Linked DNA regions of Drosophila melanogaster. The protein of the gene in region 2 interacts with the protein of the main gene of each other region in a pairwise test. Each region holds a gene or a part of one and is shown on either strand. Other genes may lie near its edges.

Region 1 (4,663 bases), 2.6 Mb from region 2:
GCTCACGCCCACTCATGCGATATGTTATGCAATAGTTAAGTTGCCAGTTGCACCTCGCGATCGATCAGATATATATTGTATTTGAATTATTGTTAATGCTTACACGGCCTGCGTTTAGCCCACTTTAACTATATCTATACTAATGTATAACTCTGTCCCGCTCCATTTCGATTCCCCATTTCCGATTATGTGCCTCACTCTCTCTTTCCCACACCCCCAAGAATATGTACTTCCAGTCGCATCCGATCCGGTTGCAGACTATATTCATATATTCATATATATATATATATATGCGCTTTATATATACCGCTCACCGGCTAATCTTCAATTATTTTGTCCGGCAAATGGATGGTCACTTTTTAAAATGCAACTTTTTACCTTTGCATAACTTTTTAGGCGACACAACGTAAGAGAATTAATTAAAAATGAAATGCAAAACTTAACTATGAAATACATATGTAAACTTTGTAGCTTCCTAATTGAATAAAGATAAATACAACTCACACGAATTTCGAACCATTTCATCATCGTCTTTTCATTTTGATGGAAGCACTTAAGTATATTTCTCGTTTTCACGTACTCTGTTAATTATTTACACTTTATAGTAGGTCATTACACATAAGTGGGCTTCTCAAGGTGTGAGAGATGTTTTACATATAATACTAGCACACGAGTCAAAATTCCGAATGCGGCGCTGTTCAATTTGTGGTCAAGTTGGAGTCCGATTCGGGTCTGGACAAAAGCGTGTGGTGGTCAGGTCCTGTATGCATGTATGTGCTATATGTGCTATCATATGCAGGCGGATGCGTGGAAGGGAGCATGGTGGGTGCGATGTGCTTGGTTGGTTGGTTGGTTGGTTGGACATGGTTCGTGGGCGGTGTTAGCGTTTGTCTTACAATTAAAATTCAGTACAAGTCTAAAAGCTACGACGGAGACGTGAGTGTGTAAGTGGGTATGGGTATGCTTAACAATGCCTAACATAAACACCTGAACAAAGGTGTGCGGCGTCTCCTTGTGCGCGTGCAAAGAGGCTGTCCTTAAGTCTACGCGGTTCTTGCGATTTATTGTAAATGTTGCTGTTTTACTGTTGCTCCTGTACTGCTCCTGTGCTGTACTGGCCGTCTATATCTAGTCCGGCAGATCGATGCTGACGAACGGAACCACCGGCTTGAGAATGTCATTCTTGGCCCCCTTCTTGCTCTTCTTGTCGTGCTTGTGGAACTCGTGCAGCTGCTCGCTGGCCGCCATGCTCGTCGAGGAGGACGCTGCGTCCAGCGGCATGGACTGTGCAGCATTGCTGTGGGTTTCCGGGTGATAGCTGATGTTGCCGTACTCCTGCAGGAACGGCATCGCGGACAACAGGAACTGGCTGAAAGACTTGCGGATGCCGAACCACCACATGTTGCCGCCCTTTGCCGAGGAGCTAAGAACTATTAGCGCCAGAATAGAGACGAGCAGCGGTGAGAAGACCACGATGTACGGGAACTTAAGCTCGCCGTCCAGCTTGTCGCAGATGACCACCTGGCGGAATAGATGGGTTAGCGATGCACAATCTTTTGGAGGGACTAGATGAGGTCTCACCTGAAAGCAGAGCAGTGGGAGCACCGTGCAGATGTTGCCCACCGCTGCGTTTAATGCCGCCTTCTTCTGCTGCAGCGAGACCTCCGGCGTACGCATCATGATGCCACAGAAGATGATGTTATACAATACGCTGACCAGGCTCAGGCATATGACGATCCACATGGGCACAAACACTACGTCCCAGTTCCAGTAGACAAAGCGATCCAGCTTTAGCGGCAGTGAAACAAACTGAAGCGCGTTGACCGCCAGGAAGAGCTCCAGCTCGAAGGAGCGATCGTGCTTGACGGCCCAGACACAGGCGCCCACACTAACCACCGAGCCGAAGATCAGCGGAATGAAGACCAGCACCCACAAGTGACGGTCCGAGGTCAGCTTATCGCAGGCCAGCAGCTCAAACATCAGCAGGATCAGGTGCAGGGCCAGTGAGATGAGCATCGCTTTGAACTGCGTGTAGGCATCGCCCTCGAGACGATAATGCGGATACCGACACCACACAATGGCTCCTACGATTGCGCCCAGGATGGCGGTGCATTTCCATATCCATAGCGGTGTGAAAATCGCCCAGTAGGGCCAATCTGGGATAAGGCATTCGATTAGACTAGGCTACTAGGCCAATTATAAGGTTAATGCCCTACAATAAATCTTGTTCAGTAATTAAAAATCTAAATATTTAGCTTAGATAAGTTATTTAAAATAGCGAGAGAACTAATATCCTCGTTAAGTGACCAAATTTGGATGATCCTCTATGGTCAGACGATTTCTTCGATATTGCTATATCCAATCTCATGATCTGCTTGCTAACCCTTGTATACAATAAATCTGGACTATTCTCTAGAAGAAGCGATGGTGCACCGTACACATATTTGTGTATGGGTCGTATATGCTTGTATTGTTATATGATTGTATTTTCTTGCATCCCCGTGCTATTTTAATTCTGGGTGACGTTGTGTATTCCAGAACTGCCACAGAAAAGTACCCACCAATGTAGTTGTCGAGGCGCAAGGCGAAGAGCGTGACAAAGATGAACAGGCTGCAGTGGACGATGAACTTGCTGAAAGGGAACATGGTCGATTATGTTTTAGATTGGGAACCCATGTGATCCGGTCGTCCGCAGTCGGAGGCTTCTCACCAGGGATTGAAGTCGCGGAACAGAGATTCCAGATTCATGTTGCTGAGGACACCATAGAGCTATGTCACTGGACACTTGGTACCTGGACACTAGTTGCTCGTGGGCACCCGCCGCACCGCGTCCGCTCCACGAAGCGATCTTCGCCCGAACAAGGCTGTGTGTTATGATGGAGTGGGGGGGCGGGGGCAGTTAGTACTCTACGCCTGGCGCCGATCTTTCACCCCTTTCCCTGTAGATATTCTGTTCTTTGTTTTATTTACACACTTTTTTGACTGGCATTTCTGTCCCGAGATTCGATATCGATAACTCTTGCCTGCTCTGGCGATTGGCTTGACTAAGGACTAGCCAGATGTCTGGCTACAATTCGCCAGATTTCCGGCTACGCTAGCCTGCTATCGATAGCCTCGATAGGCACAGGAAAATGTTATCTTATTTGGAAGATTTGAAGGAAAACGAGGACCAGCTGCGGGATTCAGACTGCTGCGGCAATGGCTGCACCAACTGCATCCTCGACAACAAGCCACGGCCAAGCAAACGCGTCCTGCTGGCTGGCAAACGCAACGTGATCCTGAGCTACACGAAGTTCCGCCTGTTGCGGCGGGAAGCGCTGGGACCCAATGGACAGTTGCTGCTCCTGCACTTTGCTCATGCAGCAGAGGAGGGGGACGGCGATGGAGCGGTGGACACGGTGCTTGACATCCCGCCCGGCCACCATGTGATGCTGCGCGTCGGCTCCCTGCTGCGTCCGTATTCGCCCTATTGGAGCGACTTTGTGGCCAAAGAGTTCCGTATCCTGGTGAAGCTGCAGCCGGAGGGGCCAATGTCTCGGCACCTGCAAGCCGTACAGCCCGACGATCTGCTGGAATTCCGTGGTCCCATCGGGCAATACGTACACGAACCGCAGCCGGCCAAGTGCATCTATATTATCGCCCAGGGAGTTGCTATTGCACCCACTCTGCCGCTGGTTCGGCAGGTGCTGGACAACGAGGAGGATATGAGTCGCCTGTGGCATTTGGTGTGCGCTCACGACCTGCTGCATGTCTACTTCCGCGAGGAGATGCTCGAGTTCGCCCAGTTCTGGAACTACAGGAGCTGCCTCTACCTGCCGCATCAGCAGTGTGACTCCTCCGCTTGCCAGGAGGCGGGCCACTGTGCCCAGCAGTGCCCTCAGCTCCGGGACAATCTACGCTACAAGGAGACGGCAAAGGTGTCCCGATTAGATGCCACCGAACTGGCCACCCACCTCAATCCCGCGATTCCCGGACAGCGTGTCCTCATCGTGGCTGGAGATTCAAGTTTTCAAAAGAACATCGCCCAAATAGCAACACAATCATTGGACGTAGATCCGGCAAACATTTATATGTTGTAAATGCCGGGAAAAACTGTAGTTGCTTATAAATATTTGAATATTGTTAATGAATTTGTGATCGTACTGGTTATACCGAGGGTTTTATATTTTTTATACCCTAGATTCGTTGAAAAGTATGTAACAGACAGAAGATATACATATATTCTAGATCTGGATCAATAGCCGAGTTGTTCTGGCCATGTCCGTCTGTCCGTATGAACGTCGAGATCTTAGGTACTATAAATGCTAGAAGGCTATCACGCCCACTCTAACGCCCACAAACCGCACAAAACTGCCACGACCACACTTTTAATAAATGTGTTGATATTTTTTCACATTTTGATTAGTCTTCATTAATTTCTATCGACTTGCAAACAACGTTTTGCTACGTCCACTCGAACGCCCAAAACTGCCACGCCCACATTTTTGAAATATTTTTAAATTATTTTATAAGTCGTGTAAGTTTCTATCGATTTAAAAAAAACTTTGGCACGCCCACTCTAACGCCCTAAAACCGCCCAAACCTGCCGCGCCCACATTTTTGAAATTTTTTTTGGATATTTTTTAATAATTTTATTAGTCGTGTAAATTTCTATCGATTTACA
Region 2 (3,494 bases):
TGCTGCTACAGCATGAAAATTTCGTAGCTTTTGGTGTCCTGCCACTCACACACACTAGCACACAGACGCAGGACGAGGAGAGCCGTAATTTACGTGCGGCTCTCTTCGAGAAAATCTCTTGTTTGCACACACACACACACATAGGCACACACGAAAGTTTTCTTGTTGAATTTTACTGATATTTCCATTCCATCAGTTGCCTTTGGCAGCCTTTTTCGGTTATAATTATTCTTGTTTCACTTGTTCTTGCTGTTTTTTGCACACGAAAAAAATTTGTTTGTTGGGGATGTATGTACGTACAGCTTCAGCTGAAATTTCATCGCTTTTCATCACACACACCAAAGATGACTAATAAGAGAAAAAATGTTGCCTATGTATACATATATAATGTACACCCACACACACACATGTGCTGTGTGTATCATGTTATTTTACCCGTTGCACTCGCGTATTTTCGCTGTTGTTTTTCCTTCTTTTTTTTCGGGCCCAAAAATCGACAGGAAAATTAATTGAAACGGGCATGGGCGGACATTGACATTGCGCTTTTTTTTCCTCCTTTTTATTTCATATTTTGTATTTTTTTTGCCCGTTTAATGCAATTAATGTATGTATGCACACACAACAAAAAAAAACATTTCACGTCTTGGCCCGTTCTTATTGGAATATGTACACATACAGCTGTATGTATGCATATGTATATCGGTATATGTATATGCGCGCGTGTGGCTGGGCATGTGTGCGTGTGTTTGTTGGTGGTTTGAAACTGCTCCAAGCCTCCCATTTGCGTCTGTGTGCGTGCGTGTGTTGCACAATTGTATGGGGGCGGGGCGGTCGAGGATGTTGGGGGAGGGGTTCAGGGGGCAGGATGATGGAGGAGGATGAGAAGTAGAAAATAGCACGAGAAAAAAAACAGTGACTGCTTGCAATTTACCTTAACTTCGTTTTGCTTTTAGCTCGAAATTTTCACACTCGACGGTTTAAGCTTTTGTTTTTTCGCTATTCGCAATTCGTGTTAAACTTTTTACTTAATTTTTGTGTGTGTGTTGACGGAGCGCGTTCGAAATGCACACGGATATCTGATTTATACGGGAGATTAATAAAAAGTGCACGCGCGCAGCAGGGCAAATCGCAAATGTTGCACTCGATAACACGCTCGTTCGTTTTCCTTTCTTATAAGAAATCGATAGAGGCGTGATTTGTCTGGGCTTATCGAGGAGCGATTCCGATTGGACTGAATGCGGTGCGGTGTGACCGTTTCGCGGTGTATGGAAATATGAAAACTCTCAGTTGGATATAATATAATAGGGATGGAACAAAAAGCAACTAGCAGTTTTATTCAAATCGGATTGAAATTTTTAACAAATCAGTAATTTAAACCTAAAAACTTATAATATTGTAATTTAATTCGATGCAATAAAACACGACTTCTTAGGTTCGTAAATAATAAGAAAAAATGCACGGTTATATTGTTAACTGAAAATTACTTCCCTTTTCAAAAACCATAGCATACATTTTGCTGCATTGACATCAAAATAAGCCCATAAGAATATTTTTTCTTATTAGAAATTATACAATCTTAAAAACTTAAGTATTTTACTATATAATCCACTAGTATATAAAAATAACATCTGTATACGTTTTTGTCCACGTGAATGCTAGTTGATTAAATAAAAATGAAATGTTTGATCAACTATCTGTTGTAAACTTTTGTATTCTCCTTATGTAGAACTCGACCTATTACAAGTATGCTTTTACAAGAGGCATATTTATCCGGATGAACAGTCAAATTCAAAAAGGCATATTTCAAGGCTGTGTCCACACTTATACCGAATCCGTTATATTATCGAGGAATTTACGCTATCGATGAAAGAAACCACCTAAAAAATCCACGCTTATGTCGAAATACGATACTGATTTAATATTGACGTAAATCTTGTTATTGTTTTGATGCAACAAATATTTAATAAAGTTTAACTAAAGATCATTTATCCGCCGTTACATCGGCAACAAACTTGGTCGAGGAATCAAGTCGCCCGTCCGCAAACTGGACGGAAGATTTGCCACCTTGAGGTGGAATCACCGGCAACCGGCGTGATCGCTCTCAAGTCAAAACAATGGTGTCCAACAGAAGTCCTCCTCCGAATCATGGTCCCTTGCCGGGGTCCAGTGGTGGCACCTCCCTGCTAGCCCTGTGCCTGATCCACTTCGTCCTGGCCGTGATCTCCGGCTGGGGTCTGAAACGGAGCACCGGCAGCAAGGCGATGGCCGCCTTTGGGATCTACTTTGGCCACAGCCTGCTCTGCCTGCTGCGGCACACGCATCCCAATCCGGGCGCAGTGCAGCGTCTGCTGTGCGACAAGTCGAGACGTTACTCCTGCGTCCTATTTGTCACCCTGGTGGTGGGCGAGCTGCAGACCGTAAATCCGGCCACCCGAATGGGTGACTTCTTCGGCGCCGACTGGGAGCGTCTGGCCTTTGGACTGTGGAGCGCTGTACTGGCACTTGCAGTCACCAGCTTGTGGTTCGGCAACAGTCGCAGTCCACTGGGTGCCACATTCATAAAACTGGATGCCGCGCAATTGGGCCTCTGTGTTCTGTGGAATGTCCACTGTCTTTGGCGCATCGCCATCGTCGACGAGCACTGGTGGTCACTTGGCCTGGCCCTGCTTGTTCTGCTGAATCACTTTGTCCTGTGGCGACTGCCGCTGCACTACAACATCAGCCAATTGGAGGTGGCCACCGTGGGCATGTGCTTTAGCACCATCTTTGCGCTGAATGCCATCCAGGAGCAACTGGACGCTGTGGCCAGCTGAGAGTAGCTGGTCGGGCAACCAGGGACTGGAGCCTTGATTGCCAAGCTCTAAGACACCAACATTTAATTATAAGATGCACGTTGTTGAACAATTTTTTGAGTAATAAACCAGACTTCTTATTTCGAAACAATTATTGCATTGTTATCATACATACATAAAAGTGTGGAATTATATTGGATTAGACGGTTTCCTTTTGCATAAGCTTTTTAATACATATTTTCGTTTTAAATATAGTTTAAATTACTTCTCTATGCGCTTTATTACATATTGATCTGGGCTTGGAGTTTCTATACTCTCGGTTTTGTTCGCCGGCTCGAAGTGTTCCACGCAACGAGCACGGCCTAGCCGAAAACTAACTCTCATTGTTAAGGAAAATTAAATGTAGCAAGTATCGTTAGAAAGAAAACTATATATATATATATGTATACGATTTAAAAGAATGTGAAAACAAATCGTACGCCTACGAAACTAATAATTGGGGCGAGAGATGGTTGTGGTGGGTTGAGGGATGAGGTTTTGGGCGGGGCAATTTCCTAGGCGTGGGTGCTGTCGTCCTCGACGAAGTCCTTGGCCTCCTCCCTGGTCACACAATCAATGTGACTGACCTTATTTCGGAATCGCACGCCGTAGAACTTGTGCGCGTTCTCCAGCAATTCCGGCCGGAACGTTGTCGTAATGAAC

The links. The genes of interacting proteins can lie anywhere in the genome.
Region 1: the proteins of CG13014 (region 2) and CG14194 interact in a two-hybrid assay, tested with the Drosophila melanogaster proteins (one large-scale study listed by BioGRID).

Annotation. Positions count from the first base shown.
Region 1 is NC_004354.4:19,191,917-19,196,579, reverse strand, and holds CG14194 (uncharacterized protein), read right to left. Parts: upstream 3,026-4,663; 5' UTR 2,749-3,025; coding exon 2,711-2,748; intron 2,633-2,710; coding exon 2,562-2,632; intron 2,157-2,561; coding exon 1,582-2,156; intron 1,522-1,581; coding exon 1,129-1,521; 3' UTR 543-1,128; downstream 1-542. Other genes in the region: CG7914 (uncharacterized protein), read left to right, coding at 3,132-4,079.
Region 2 is NC_004354.4:16,585,994-16,589,487, forward strand, and holds CG13014 (uncharacterized protein), read left to right. Parts: upstream 1-1,879; 5' UTR 1,880-2,114; coding exon 2,115-2,813; 3' UTR 2,814-2,937; downstream 2,938-3,494. Other genes in the region: SMC3 (structural maintenance of chromosomes 3), read right to left, coding at 3,347-3,494.